Oreochromis niloticus: one gene and its partner. The protein of the gene in region 1 purifies or fractionates together with the protein of each later gene. This does not show direct contact. Links are inferred from orthologs where the notes say so. Each region holds a gene or a part of one and is shown on either strand. Other genes may lie near its edges.

Region 1 (7,561 bases):
CCTTCTGAACTCAGAGGAAGAGCTCCATAAAGTCACTAAAAACGCAGCATTCAGTCTTTTAGCTGGGCTGCATGACATCTGCCACTAAAAATTTCTGACTATGTTATGTTGCATTTGTTTCAGATTCTCTGGCAGTTTTCATTTTGCTTTTTTTTTTTTAGATTTAGCCTAGGAAACTATAAAATCTACATAGAACAAAATCCAGGAAATCTGGATAGATATTATACAGTGAAAACATAGAAACAGAAACATACTGAGGCACTCTCTCAGGTAAAATCAAATCATGAACCATGAGAAAGCCTGAGATAGGAATTCCCCTACTTTTAAGTAAGTAAGTCTTATCTTATCTTTTACCTGAAGACAGATAGTAATTTTTTATGATTACCTTTACCACATAAAATCTATCAATTATTCCTGGATTATTTTTCTTTGTACTTCTTCCTGCCCCACTGAAGAGCACTTCTCAGATCATTTGTCATAGCCATGCATCATTTTGCTTTTCTGATTGCAAGATCTATTGGTTAGATAACACCCTAAAAAGATAATCCAACTACACTCAACAGGCCCTTTGCTAGGAGCACCTTGCAAATATTTGGCTAGACCCAGTTTTGCCTTCAGAATGGCATTAATTCTTTATATATAGACTCAAAAAGATGCTGGAAAAATTTTGCTCCATATTGGCATGGTAAATGGTAAAATGGTAAATGGCCTGTATTTGTATAGCGCTTTACTAGTCCCTAAGGACCCCAAAGCGCTTTACACACCCATTCACACACTGGTGATGGCAAGCTACATTGTAGCCACAGCCACCCTGGGGCGCACTGACAGAGGCGAGGCTGCCGAACACTGGCGCCACCGGGCCCTCTTACCACCACCAGTAGGCAACGGGTGAAGTGTCTTGCCCAAGGACACAACGACCGAGACTGTCCAAGCTGGGGCTCGAACCGCCAACCTTCCGATTACCTTCCGATTACAAGGCGAACTCCCAACTCTTGAGCCAGTATCACACAGCTACTGCAGACATGGCAGCTTCACATCCATGATGCAACCCTCCTGTTCCAACAAATACCAGAGGTGCTCTATTGGATTGAGACCTGCCATTTGACTACCAGGAAACTCACGGACATGTTAAATAAACCAGTTTGAGATGATCTGAGTTTTGTGACATGGTCTGCTATCCTGCCTGAAACAGCCATTAGAAGATGGATACACTGTGTTCATAATGGGTGGCCATGGTCAGCAACAATATGCAGGAAGGCTGTGGTGTGTAAATGATGTTCAGCTCTCTGTGTTTAGAGATCCTCTTCTGCATACCTTAGTTGTAATGAGTGGATATCTGACTATGAGCTAAAAGCAGTCTGACCAGTCAGACTTCTGACAAGGCACTTTTGCCCACAGAACTACAGCTCACTGGATATTTTCTCTTTTTCAGGCCACACATTGTAAACACTAAAGATGACTGTGCTGGAAAATCCCAGTAGATTAGCAGTTTCTAAAATACTCAGACCAGCCCATCAGGCACCAACAACCACACTACAATAAAAGTCACATAAATAACCTCTTTTTCGTGTTCTGATACTCAGTTTGAACTTCAGCAGGGCTTCTTGACCATATTTACATGCCTTACTGCACTGAGTTACTGCCATCTTATTAGTACCTAACCAAGTGGCCAGTTAAACTATATAATTATCTATCATCCTGCCAAGTACTCAGTGTGACGCTATCATGGCACACACCTTTCTGACCTAACAGAGTGTATTTTGAACCATACCGATATCACAGCAATTGTGGGTCAGAGATAGGAGGAAATATAAAAGACAAACCCAGAGTAGCGCAGACACCTCAGATATGCTATAAACCACAGCTTTACGAGTTCTCACAAACTAGGTGCTGCAGTAAATGCCTAAGAGTGTTCAAATTGTTTCAACAACTCATCACCACTACTTATGATTCTCAATAGGTTTATCTACTGCTTGACAAAAATCACATTGTTTTTCAGTCATTTGGTTCATTGATACTTACATAAACTCTCCACCGCGTTCAATTAGTGACAGGAGTCTGGGCTCCTTCTGGCCAGACCTCACCTCCAGGCATTTTACAGTGTGAGCAGCACAATCAAGGAATTATTGTGACTGAGAATGAGAAACTAGTGACTGTCACCCCAGGCTTTGTAAACTGAGATTACACTACAGATACTCTGAAGGGTTAGAACAAGCCATGCCAGTTAAAAGGTGGGCAACTTAAGGTAATAAAAGAAAAGAGCAGGAGGTGGGACAAAGCACTGCAGATGCTGGGTTTGCTGGTGCCAGTGCAGGTAATACTTTTAGCTTAAGGGTGTAAAGGTGTAAGGATGGCTAACGTTATTCTGTACAAGTGATTTTAATTAGCGTTAATTGCATGACACTGGTCATATATCTGTGCGGTTAGCAATGAACTGGATTAAAAGTGAGCTGTAGCTACTTTATAACATGATTATTTAAGTGCACGGTTACTAAATATCTCCATATTACTGAATTACTAACGTTGCCTAATGGGCTTCACTAAAAGCTAACGTTAGCTAACAAGCTAAAACCCCCAAAAAAAACAAGCCCAAAAATACCAGAACTCAGAAAGGATATTGCCAAGCATTCCTCGCCGCATATCCCCAAAGAGGAATCCATTCTTACCGAGAGGAAATAAATATCAGTTTATCATTTGGGTTTATATCACTTCGGTGCGGACGTCAGGGCAGGGAAAGTTAAACCTCCACCCGGCGCTGCGGCGGCCTCCTTCCGGGAAGCTTGGCCGCTAATGCTAAACGCCAGCTGATGATGTTGTTGTTGTTGTTGCTGCTGCTGCTGCTGCTGTTCCCGGATAGTATTAAAAATATCACAGTTAGAAACTTTAAAAAGAAAGAAGAAAACCCCGGCTCTTCTCGTGTCCCCGTGAATGCCAGAGAGCAGGTTGCACAGGCTACATAGCTTTAGCTGGCAGTTTTATGATTTAGCCGCATATGCTACAGCACAGAGTTTGATATGTGGTGGACTCCCTCCTCCTGCCGCTCCTCTCCCTGCTTAAGGACTCATCATCCTGGTTTTTTGCGGCAGTTGGCTTCGAGTATGAGCTTAATAACGCCATCTTCTGCATCGGAGTGCAATACTAAGTGAGTAAGCCTCCCAGCCCTGACAAATATAAAGAAACCCCTGCGACATCGTGTGGTAAAACAATATTATCTGCATATAATTTACTTTCCAGTTTCACACATCCTCTTTGGGGGATTAAAAATGTCCGAAAGGTGTTTTGTCCCACATTAATAGGCATGAGGTGTAACTAATACAATCGCTTTTACATTTTTTTTTTTAATATTACCGCCACCAAGGAGGTTATGTGTTTTGGGGGGGTTGGCAGTGTTTTTACGCGTTTCCTTCTTTCTGTAAACACGATAGTTTTTTAAAAATTAAATTAATTCTTATCAAATTTATTGGAGTGTATTGTGTGGTCATCTAAACAATCCATTCAAATTTGACCTCCAAACTCTAAGTTAAATAGACTGATCTGCACCTCAAAGTAATATTGCTATAGAACTATTTAAAACTATATTTCTTAATGCCATTGGTTTAATTGACAACATATAGAAATATAGGGATTTTAAATATTGGACCTCATTTTCCAGTTCAAATAAGATAAAACTTATACTGTCTTTTATCTTTAAAAATTTACATAAAATTGTGTGTTGGTACTGGCAAAATTGGAAAGGATAGAAGTATATGGTGATTATAAATATCACATTACAGTTTGCATTCAAAAATCAGTCACATTTGCCCTCTGATCAGTTTTACATTTCACAACAACTGAAGGTGTGTTATATCTTTAAATAAAGTATTTTTTAAAGAGAAAGAAATGAGCTGCCTAGTTAGAATATACTACAGTATGTAGTATTATATAATAAGCTCAAGTCAAGGTTTCATCCGCTTTGACTTGTGACCCCTTCAAATTAAGCAGTCTTCATCACACGCTATGTCATGTGATAGCTGTGATAGAGCAGTTTCACTAACAGTCATTTCATTCATCTCAGACTGTGATTTTAATGATTATAATGACTTCAGCTGAACTGTCCTCACAGTTTAAACACTGATTCTTTCCTCAGTGGATGTATTTCTGAGAGCAATTGTGCAAAGACTTTGAGTATGTTTTTCCATTTCCTGGATCCAGACTTTTAAATCCCTCTACCCACTAATCAATATCTGATATCAGACTAATTTTTTCATCATAAAAACTTTTTAAAGTTCTCCAGGCTACTTGTACAATTCATGTACAATTGCATTCATGACTTCATAAATTGTGACCATCAACAACACTGAGACATTTCTCATGATGTCTCAAAAAACATCCCTTTAAAGATGGTCAGGTACAAGAGCTGGAATAAAAATAAGTGAAAAGAAAAACTTTGAAAGGCCTTCAGAAAGCCTGGAGAACAACTGCTTAGACCAAAAAAATTATAAGAACATCTAGCTCCTTGGAAGCAAAATATAAAGAAATAAAGGGTGGGTCAGGACTTTTGCACAGTGTTGTAGTTCTATCAGTTAATCAGATATAATCACTTTAATTAATTCAAAGAGGGACACAATTTAACAAAGAATCAAAATATAATTGTTAGTAGAAATTTGAAAATTATTCAATTTATATAATTATTTTTGATGATTTGGTTTTGCACTGTTCTACATTTAATTCTCCATCTTTCAGCAATAATATGAAATGTTTCCCCTGCAAAAGAGCAGCTTTATTTTTGTACGTTTTAATGAAACATTAAAAATGGAATTAACTCACCCAATGATTTATTAGTCACACACTGCACTGAAAATACTGTTTTTCCATAATGTAACTGCAAAAATGCATTGAAATTATTCAAATTAAATCAGTGGCACCGTCCACTGTTATTCCATAAAACACAGCTGCATTTGAAATTCATTGAAACAACAAACATGTGATATTAACCTTTATGATTGTAATCAACCACCATTAGGTTTTTATGCATTTTAGTAGTGTCATCATGCATTGTGACAGATTAGGAGGTTCAGTTACATTTAAAGAGAAGCTATCATCCTTTCCCCTATTTTCTGTCACATATACCTCATTACTGTGATTTGTGTTCAGATTAAACTGGTTTTAAATAATGAGGCTGTTCTAAACACTCAAATTCAGACTTTATTTTCTACTCTTGGCTTTGCCTAATGTCAAAAATTGGGGACTTCCCTAGTTCATCTCTGGCACTTAGGACCCAACCATCTAATGCTTAAGCTTTGAGTTTGTGAGGGGCACCCAAACAGAAGAAAGTTGGCTTGGAGGAAGAGGAGTTCATATGGCTCGTTTCAGGCTGTGAATGAACTAAGGACCCAGCTCAAGATAAATAAGGATTATCTTGAACTTTGAGTCATGCAAAGCTCCTCTAGAAGAGTAGAGGAATGAAAGTTTGGACCTGGAAATGAGCATAATAGGTCCATAAGTTATAGTAAAATGCATAATTTATAGTAAAAGCACCATCTCAGCATGATTTCAGTTAGCAACTATTGTTCTAAAGCAGTATACTGATACTTTACTCTCAGTTGTTGTAAGTTTTTATCTTGTGAATAGCGTAAGGGCTGGAGTCTCTGTGTGGCCAAATGTCTCCATTCGGCAGATCTCTAGATTGTTCCTCCTCCCACTCAACCATCTCTACTGTTAAAGTGGATGGACTGAAGATGTCAGTTGTCCGGTAGGATTGTGTTAGGCGGCGGAAAGGTGATGTGTCAGAGACATCATCTTCGCAGAGGTCTTCCATGAGCTCCTTGCGTTGTCTGCGAGATGCTTTCAGCTCATCATTCAGGTCAGAAACCAGATCTTTAACGTCTTTCACAAGTGTGGAGCGAACGCCAAACAGGCAGAGCAGGAACACGAGACCAGCGCAGATGCCTGAGACAAAGTAGAGAGCGACTCGTTCTGGGAGACCTGGAAGAGACATGTGTGAGGAAATTAAAAATTTGCCGGCATAAGCCACAAGTGTCCACTCAGCTCATCTTTCTCAAATTGCTTTAGAAAACACTATTAATGCAAGGTGTGACCTTTCAAAGAAACCACTAAATTCATTTCATGTGAGTAATGTATCAAAATCGATTTGCAAGTGCTCCTATTTCAGTTCAAATATCCAAATAATTTGTATCTATATTTTTTTATATTCATATTAATAATGTTCGAAACTGATTTAGCTGAAAAATCTTCCTGGGCAGTGCAGTATTGTAAAAACAAAGACACAGTATTGGCTTTGGATTAGGATCATTCCTGGAAAAACCATATATGATTATTTATGTTAGAGTACATAATGGCTAATATTTGGATTTTCCACCAGCATGTTAATGTATGATCCAAGGGGAAAAAAACATAACTGTTTTGTCTATGTCCAAGTTGAATATAACATGTCATAATAAACTGAAAGGACATAAATAGACTGAAATTAGGAAAAAATATTTTTTAAAGATAATATGCTACTAATGATATGATTTGGAAAATGGAAATAATACAGAAATATGTACGCAAATTTTAGATTACTGCAGAAAAGACAAAACCTATCAGCACAGACAAGTGGCTGGCACACTGATAAGCAGAGGCTGGCTGGAGCCTTCCTGTGTGGAATTTGCATGTCCTTGCTGTGCCTGTGTGGATTCTCTCCAGCTTCCTCCAGCAGTACAAACACATGCATGTCAGGTTAAGTGGTGAGTGAAAATTGGCTGTGGATGTGAGGTAGATGAATTGCATAAAGTGTGCAGAGTAAAAAGTAAATGTGGATTGTGGTTTAAAGTGGCCAGTAAAGAGTACATAAGTGCTATATGAATGTCAGTCCAGTATCATACCTCTCTATCTGTAACAGCTGAGATATATGTTAGCCCCTGCAACACTAGGCTAGATAAGCAATTAAGAAAATAGACAGATGGTATATAAAGGCTTCCAGTTACTCTAAATCAAATTAAAAACACTACATTTCATTTAATTCAACACCTCTTCTTATTTTTCCATGTCAGTTTGGAGCTCAGTATCTCGACTGTGTCCACCAACGTGCTTGAACACCCACACTTCACTTCGACTACAGCACTCATGAGCGATATATATGTGGCTGTAGCCTGACATCCACAGGCATCAGTACACATACCCAGTATTTTGTCAAAGATCTCCAGAGAGTTGGTTAAGAACACATTTTGAGGCCTGTAGGTGGGGCCAGTGTACCATCCACCTGCAGGCGAGAGGGTTCTGGGCTCAATAGCCAGTCAAAGTCTGCTGCATGCAATGAAACCTGTGAACGTTCGTTTTCACACTCACCGTGTGTGTAATCTGAGATCATGAAAGGATCTGTTGGACCTTGACCCACATCTTCTAGGAGATATCTGGGGACTAAAGAGGAAATGAAACATGTCACAATATGCAGCTGTATGCAAATACAGAAAATATACTATGCATCTACATCCAAGCCAAAAAAAGAGTAGGTGAAGATTTGTCACTTACCACAAGTGAAGGACACCCGCAGGTGTTTCCTGGTGCCGGGGAAGCACGGGTC
Region 2 (7,995 bases), on another chromosome or scaffold:
AACTTTAACTTGTGCTTATCTATGTTTGCTGAAAGAAAAAAAAAAACACAACTTTATCACAGTACCACATTAAATTGTGGTTTACTGACACTGTAAAGTAGTTATAATAAGTACTTCAATAACAGTCTATTTGTGTTTCTCCTTTCAGAAAAGGTCAGAGCCGTGGGGCAGGAGTTAAAAACGAGTCACTGAATGTTGCACTCTTGGGAACTTTAGAAAGGGCACATGCTCGCAAAGTGGACTTCAACCTATTCCTGTTCTTCTTCTCCCCGCTGAGCCATCCTGCCAATGTAAACACTGTCCATTTACTTTGTTTTACCTGTCATAACACCAACAGAGCGCTGCAGCACGCATAAATACTGCAACTCCCTGGAAGTGCAAGACAAATTGAAAGTCTAACTTGCACAGCATGGACAGATTAGTGCGTTACATGCTGTTTAATCACACGTTCAACTGTAAACTGGGGCTCAGATTACCTCCTGCTAATCCAATTTTACTCCTGTTAGGAAACAGAAGCAAGGCACTTTATTATCTTGTTTGCAGTTAATAGCTTGTTTGTATTATTGCTTTCGCTTTTGGTAATGAAGCTATTATCTGAGGACCATGAGAGTAAGCTGGAAGGGAAACTTGTATGGGAGGCAGTGGAAGTCATTGAGGAAGATGTGGTGGAAGATCGGGCTGGAAGAAGGAAAACGGTGGCACGTAGGAAGGTGGTGGAGCAGGATGTCCACCTTGGTGTATTCTCTCGAGCTGCTTGATGGTCAAGCAAGGCTCCTCCGAGTGCTCAAGATTCCTTAATTTTCTAGTCCTTGAAATTCTACAAATGTTTTTTCTTTTCTTTTTCCTTTTTAAAATTTAAACTAGATATGTACTGCCTTAGGATACAGGAGAAACCCCACGTCGATAGTTTTCCCAAAATGGGCATCAATACCCCATCAGACACATTCACCTTCGCACATGCTATAACTCATGTTTTTTATTTTCTTCCAACATCAGAATAAAAACAGGAGATACCAGTTAAAAAGCTCAGATGTATGGGCTATTCCCTGTCAGGTTCACTGAGTATGCACTAAGTTTATTATAGTTCATTAAAACTATAATAACTTAGATATGAAACAGTATTTTAGTTAACTGAGATATAAGTACTTTCCAAAGGTCTCGAGTCACCCCTCATGTCTTTATATATTTTGCAAGGACAATGGTAAACAGTTGCAGTGATTTATTGAAACATGCAAAGGTGACAGGAAATACAGCCTATACAGTGTTGAAGACATTCAGAGCTCCTCTCTGGATGTTGGCTGCCTTTTGTTGTGTTCTCTGTTAAGATCATTGTTTCAGTAATCACTAATAACTTAACGCCCACTCACATCCTGGGCCATCTGACCTCAGGAATTCACATGACAAGGTAGGGCCAGGTTTCACAATGAGCTCACCCGAAACCTTGGCTGATTAGGTCCCACACCCGCTTTCACACCTTGGCGCATGTGATTAGAGGATCACCAGGGGGTCCTTTGTCCCTCCTTGGGGGGATACTCCCACTGGGTTTAAATCTGGGACTCTCGGCCATTTGACCTTAGAACTGAAGAAGCTTCTCGGATGAGAGGTGAAACGTCTTCAAGCAACTTAAAGAAGTCCAGACGCTTTTCTTTGCAAACTCCTTTGACTACGATGACCTGGATGAATGAGAACCTTCACAGACAGTAATCACTAATAATTGCTTCCATCAGACCCGTTTCCACTGATTTTCAGTTCTTCTGTAATTTGGCATTCCTTTGCCTTTTGTGTTTCCCTTCCTTAAAAAATGGCTTCTTGACCGCCATTCTTCCACTGAGGCCATTTCTGATAAGGCTTCATGGAACAATAGACGGATCAACTGAAGAGCCAGATGCATCCCTCAGATCTTGTGTCAGATTTCTTTTCTGTTTCTTTGGAGCACTGTTCATCATTTTTAGATACTGTTCATCTGCTGTAGTTTGTTTGTTTTTTTTAAAAAAAACCCTGCCTCTTCTTCTTTTTTCCTCCTCTTGTCCAGTTACCTTATGTGCTTTAAGGACACACTGTATGCCATGCCAAGATATGCCAGGTTTTCAGGTAATAGCTCTTTTGGAATCAACCTTTTGGTGCAGGAATGTCATTTGTGTGCCTTTCAAACTGTTATCTTTGGCATTTTTCACAGATTCATTTGAGGAAATTGGAACAAATTATGTGTTTTTGCAACAGGCTGCTAGTAACAAATTTTCTCAAGATATTTAAAATTGGTTCTTTGCCAAGTTGACAGACAAGTTGTAGACAGAACACTGGTTCATCCTTTGAGTCAGGTGCCATTTTTATGCTTTAATGACTCATAGGTCAGTGTTAAGTGACCTAACATGCACTGAAAATGAGTGAAAGAGAACCAAAGAAAAACTTTGCGAGACCTTCGGAAAGGAAAAAAGAAAGAAAAAAAACTACTATAAAGTCTGGCTGCTTGGAAGGGAAAATATAAACATATGAAGGGTAGCTAAAGACTTTTGAACAGTACTGTAAACCTTTGAAGCGGAGGTGGACAACAGGATCTACCAGTTTTGGCAGTCAAGAGGTAGCAAAGTGTTTGTAACACAGATTCTTAACTTAAATCTACCCCTGACAAATAAATATGCAAGTAAGTTAAAAGTAAAACTAAGAGTTTAAAACACGGCTTACTGACCGTCCAAACAAAACCCATCCCTTACTTACGTGCTTGTCTCATATCCAGCCGACATCCACCTCCGTCCTCCCATCACATCTGGAGCTCTTAACTGGACCGTCTCCCACTTCTTCGCCCTTCTCGAGTAAATACTAAAAAAAAGACCAAAGTAACGAGTTTTATTTCACGTTTATTTTCACTCAGGAAGCCGCATAAACGACAGAATCCAAGAGGAAGCGGCCAGGTCAGCGTCCTCGCTCGTTTTAGACGTTAAGAGGATTATTAGCCACAACTTTTTCCACCGCTTCGTGTTTTTTTGGAGCGAGTGATTCAGTATGAAGGAGGGCTGACTGGTCACAAGCTTTTGACACATCAGCACTTTACAGGAATTCCTGCTGGCCTTCAATAACACAGCGACGGCAACACGAACGAGCGTGCTTGAAGACACATCTCTCAGTGCCAACTAGCTTCACGCCTTTAGCCTCTTTCGTGGAAACAAACATGCATCCAACGTCTGTGCAGCCCGCAGACTGCAGACGAGCTGTTAGAGGTGGACTCTCACAAGTTAGGACAATATTATAATAACCAGCTAAGTGTTAGTATTCATTACCTCCACGTAAACAGAAAACCTCCCTCTTCTTCCAAGCGGGTAGTCCCACAGTTTTTTTTTTGATTTTCCCTTTCTCTCTTCCTCGCCTCTTTCTTTTTTCTTCTTTTTCCCCGGTCACGTGACACTCTAACAGAGCGCGCGTTGTGCTTAACCCTGCCAGCTTGACAGGGCGGGGTGATCACTTTAGCTCTCGTGCCGTCCTGGTGAAACAGCCGTCCGGATAAGCAGTAATATAAAACAGGCGCGCCTGTCTGTGCCCTTGGAAAGGTGGCTGCTGACTGCTCCACCTGCACGGATGGAGCGTTGCTGGATATAAAGGTCTGTGCAAAAGTCTCGAGTCACCTGTCATTCCTTTATATTTAGGGTTTAAATAGAGTTTGTATTTAAAAAGAAAATGTATTGAGCAATAATTCACCAGGATTTCGGAAGGTCTTTCAAATTTCCTCTTTATGTCTTTATGCCTGACCATTTTCATAGACATTGTTTTGTTTATTGGGCCACTTAACACTGAGCTATGTATCATTCGAGCATGAAAAAGGCACCTAACTTAAGGAATTAACCAGTGTTGTGTCTACATCACAAAGAACTTGGCAAAGAACTGGTTTTAAATTGTATCTCTTTAGGCACTTTGTTACCAGCAGCCTGTTGTAAAATAGTATTTGGTACTAACAAGCTGATTCCCAAAAAACTATTAGCCTGAAACTTGGAATACCTCAGCACTTTGTGCAGTGTGGCCTTAAAAAAATGAGGAAATTGGACAAACGGAGAACAAAAGAAGATCTGGCCTATAAGTGATATCCTTAATAAACGGGAAAAAATCTAGCAACAGGATCCTGAGAGATCCCTCCAGATGATCCAGCTAATGTTTGGAAATGGTCTCAGTGGAAGGATGGCTGACATGAACCCTTTCTTAAGCAGGGAGAAAAGGCTGAGGTATGCCACATTTCACAAGAACTGGACTGAAAATCAATGGCAACAGGACTTGTGGAGTGATGAATCCAAATTTGCTTCACTAATATTGATGCAGTGATCTTGACAGACAAAAGACACCCAACATCCAAAATACTCCTTCAAGAAACCTGGTTAACTATTCCTGAAGAAATAACAAGAAAGCCTTTCTAACCGAGTTCAGGCCATGATGCACAACAAAATTGATCATATTAGATGTCAATTTTCAAGCTTGTTGAAATTTGTAGGGTTTTTTTTTCTCCCTTATTTACTGGATTTTCATGTATGCTTGCACATATTTTAATTAATCACCGCAAGTGTTTCCCATTTTCACTGCAAAACATAAAGAAATTGGCGACTTAAGACTTTTGCATGGTATTGTATTAATCTGAAACATTGTTTTAAACAGTCAGTAGCTTCTCGGGATTCATGTGGTCCAGATCTGACAAGCCTAAGAGTAGTTGTTTTTACTCTAGACATTATCTGGTCTCTTGATGTGGTTTGATGTGGACTAAATGGAAAATACGAACACCAGCCTCCCTTCTTGTGTTTTCACTCTTTCTCTGTAAATCCAATCGACTTTAACAAGTGCCTGGATAACATATTTTGTTAATCATATTTCAAGTAAAATAATCACATATTATGGAAATTACTGCCTCAGCATTCAAAATATATTTAACATTCTCCAATCAGTAGGGCTATTGGTTTCTAAATTTTTAATATTGTAACTAAATAATCATAGCTTTGTTATATATCAGTAACACATTCATTATAGTATCATAGCATCACGAGCATCTTTAGTTTGTTCTGCTTTGTGAAAATTTGCACATTTACTATAATTACAACATAAGGCACCCCGGGATTAAAGGCAAGTAGTTTTTTATTGTCATGGCCTGATTCCCATTCACTTGGGTTGCAAACAGCTGCCCAGCTCTGTTGCAGTCCTTTCATGGAGAGCCCTGCTTGAGGGCACTCCAAAAGGCAGAGTTAAAGATATCTTTTTGTCATGCACATTCTTAGCAGAGCTTTCCACTTCATGCATTTGAACTTATGATGTTCCCCGCTGTCCTCTAGGCCACCGCTGCCCCGTTCCTGTAACCCTGTCACTTTTATGGCACTGAGCTGCTGGCTGCGGTCTGTTTTTGCATGACCATGACAAGCCGCCATGAATTCATCTGAATTATTCTAATGAATACGATATTCTGAATATCTTCGGGAGACAGCTGATGGCCTTTAGCACTGCCAGCTTGCTATCTCATCACACTAATCTTCAATTAGCTGATGCAGCTGCTGATGCCATTTTCTGTCATTCTCTTTTTGAAACGTTTGCTCTCACTGCTTTTTGGTAACTTTGATGAAGTGTGATGCTCTCGGAGGCGGTTTAATTTCCTCCGTTGGGCTCCCGGTTCACAGAGGCTCAACATATCCGAGAGATAAACGCAGAAGAGGACAGCTTTTAATAGAGAATACAGACATAAAATCAGCACTAAAAATATTGTTAGGTTTAAAGTACACACACTCACACGCACACTGACCAAGTGCAAAGTGTTTACTTCTCACAAGTTATTTCCCAACAGTTTGTGGACACACAATAAAATATCACAAACAACTTTTTGAGACATTCCAATCAGCTTTAAAAGTGATTCATTGCTGAGTCAGAGTTTAGTCTTTAATTCAGTATCTGAACAAAGAGGTGAGGTTTACAAGTGTGTGATGCCTCTAATCTAAATGTATCAAGGGGGTGTGTTAATAAAAAAAAAAAAGTTGCTCACCAGCAATCATGTTTGCATGAAATACCAGTGAATGCCTCTCATCTAACCCCCCAGAAACGCTATTTTTGTGTGGAATATCTTCAGCATACTAAATGAAATCATGCAACATTTTATGTTCATACTGTGGATATTTTCCGAGTTACAGACCTGAAATGAGTACATGGAGCAGGTGGAAATTTAGTCGCCTTTTAAGTCGCCTTATTTTTTTACAGCATTTTTTTTAGACCTCCATGTACTTCTTAAGTACATGAAGTACATGAAATTCTCAGAGTGGAAAAACACATTTAACCTTAACCAAATGAATTTTACTTCCACCCACCTAGAAGAATTCACCAAACTGTAGGTACAAAGCAGACCTTTCATGCTGTTGGTTTTTACCAGTTACACACATGGTGATATCATTAAACTAGAGCCTGACTGATGTAGGACTTTTAAGATACCCGTACTTTGTGATTTAAAAAGTCTGATATATCGGCCAATATTTCTTTTCTTTCAGACACACATATTTGTTTGTAGTTATTTATTTACTCCTTTATGCCGACTCTGTTCAGAAAGGCTGTTTCTGGCATTCCAAATAAGTTGCAAAGTGCCTTCTGCAGCTTCTCTACGCAATATCAACACTCATACCATAGTTGACGGGTGTTTCTGTTACTCTACTTCACAGACGTTAAATTAGTACAATTTTGCTACCGAAACGGTGATTATATTCCATAATACTGATGCTTACAGTTGGTTTTAGAAAAAAATATGCTGAATTGGCTGTAGATGGGGACACTTGGAGTGGGTATAGAATTTATTTAATTGCAGCTTTTAACTGAGTTTAATGCCTTCTCAGTGCTGAAAAGGTAATTTGGTTATCTCCTGTGGTGAAATTGCAAGGAATGAAAAGTGAAGGAAAAAAAAAGTTTTAACCCTTCTCTACTCTGATGGCCAGTAACTAATTTTCATTGTACTAAACCTTGCATGATTTCATTTAGTATGTAAGTTATTGCATTTTTTGTTTAGCTGATTTTTTCGGATGTCAGGTGGGAACTTTGATGAGATTTGACTGATTTTCTATGTATATACTGTATATATTTGATCTATTTTAAAGCAATAGTCATCTTGTTACTCTGTTTCTTTATAACTCATTTGGTTTTTATAAGTGCTATATATAAAAGCACTTCATCATTTTTTAATTACCTATGACTCATTACCCAGAGCAACATGGAAATTTGTCAGGTTTATATTGACGTCAGGATTGACCCGATGCATGAGGGAGTTAGAGGGAATATTTCTTAACTCTGTTCTGGAGGGCAGAAAATCCAGCATTTCAGGCCCACTACCAGGCAGCCTCTCCACAGAAATGCATAGAAAAACACAGTGATGGCAGGACAAAGTGAAGAGTCAGTCATGCGTTCATTCAGTCCCATGCCTCTCTTCTGATAAAGCACAACTAGGTATTTGGTTTTCGTCACGTTTCATCTCTGCATTATATTTTCTTCCTCCCGCTGCAGCCCACATTGTAAAGTTTCTCTAAGTTATAATAGTTAAGTTTTTCATTCATGTAAACACGATTCGGTATGTATAAATAACTCATCTGGCTCTGCCCTGAAAAACATATACCTCGAGGGAATGTCAGCTTTCATCAAAATACCTCTCAGTCATCCAACACAATATCAAAAATATCATCTCTTTAAATGTTAAAGTCTCTGTAGAAAAATGCCTGAAATATACATGTATATTTGTATACAAACAAAATTTGATGCAAATTATTACTTCTTCAATAACCCTTTAAAGCTGTAACTATGCCAAACTGTACTGAATCTCTGCATGTCATTGTGAAATAAACACAGCTTGCATGGCACCAGATGAGCGGATAGATTTTGATGTACAACGAACATAATGTCTGGACAAGGATCAGTGACCGCATCATCAACCATTTCAAAACACGAGTCTTTCCAAAAACATGCTGTGGTTGTGCATATGGCACGTACTGACATAGTTATTATTTTCTCCTT

The links. Proteins that work in one complex are often made in the same cells at the same time.
Region 2: the proteins of ocrl (region 1) and pheta1 purify together in Homo sapiens (co-immunoprecipitation; 5 studies listed by BioGRID and IntAct, counting the BioPlex papers as one, with this or other methods). This does not show direct contact. The link is inferred for Oreochromis niloticus from reciprocal best matches to the Homo sapiens genes OCRL and PHETA1.

What each region holds. Positions count from the first base shown.
Region 1 is NC_031966.2:18,622,442-18,630,002, reverse strand, and holds the start of ocrl (inositol polyphosphate 5-phosphatase OCRL), read right to left. Parts: upstream 3,043-7,561; 5' UTR 2,661-3,042; coding exon 2,619-2,660; intron 2,103-2,618; coding exon 2,023-2,102; intron 1-2,022. Other genes in the region: si:ch73-335m24.2 (protein eva-1 homolog C), read right to left, coding at 5,579-5,964, 7,160-7,240, 7,327-7,398, 7,510-7,561. UniProt on the Homo sapiens protein: Catalyzes the hydrolysis of the 5-position phosphate of phosphatidylinositol 4,5-bisphosphate (PtdIns(4,5)P2) and phosphatidylinositol-3,4,5-bisphosphate (PtdIns(3,4,5)P3), with the greatest catalytic activity towards PtdIns(4,5)P2.
Region 2 is NC_031977.2:24,418,614-24,426,608, forward strand, and holds the start of pheta1 (sesquipedalian-1), read right to left. Parts: upstream 3,416-7,995; 5' UTR 3,276-3,415; intron 2,818-3,275; 5' UTR 2,716-2,817; intron 1-2,715. UniProt on the Homo sapiens protein: Plays a role in endocytic trafficking. Required for receptor recycling from endosomes, both to the trans-Golgi network and the plasma membrane.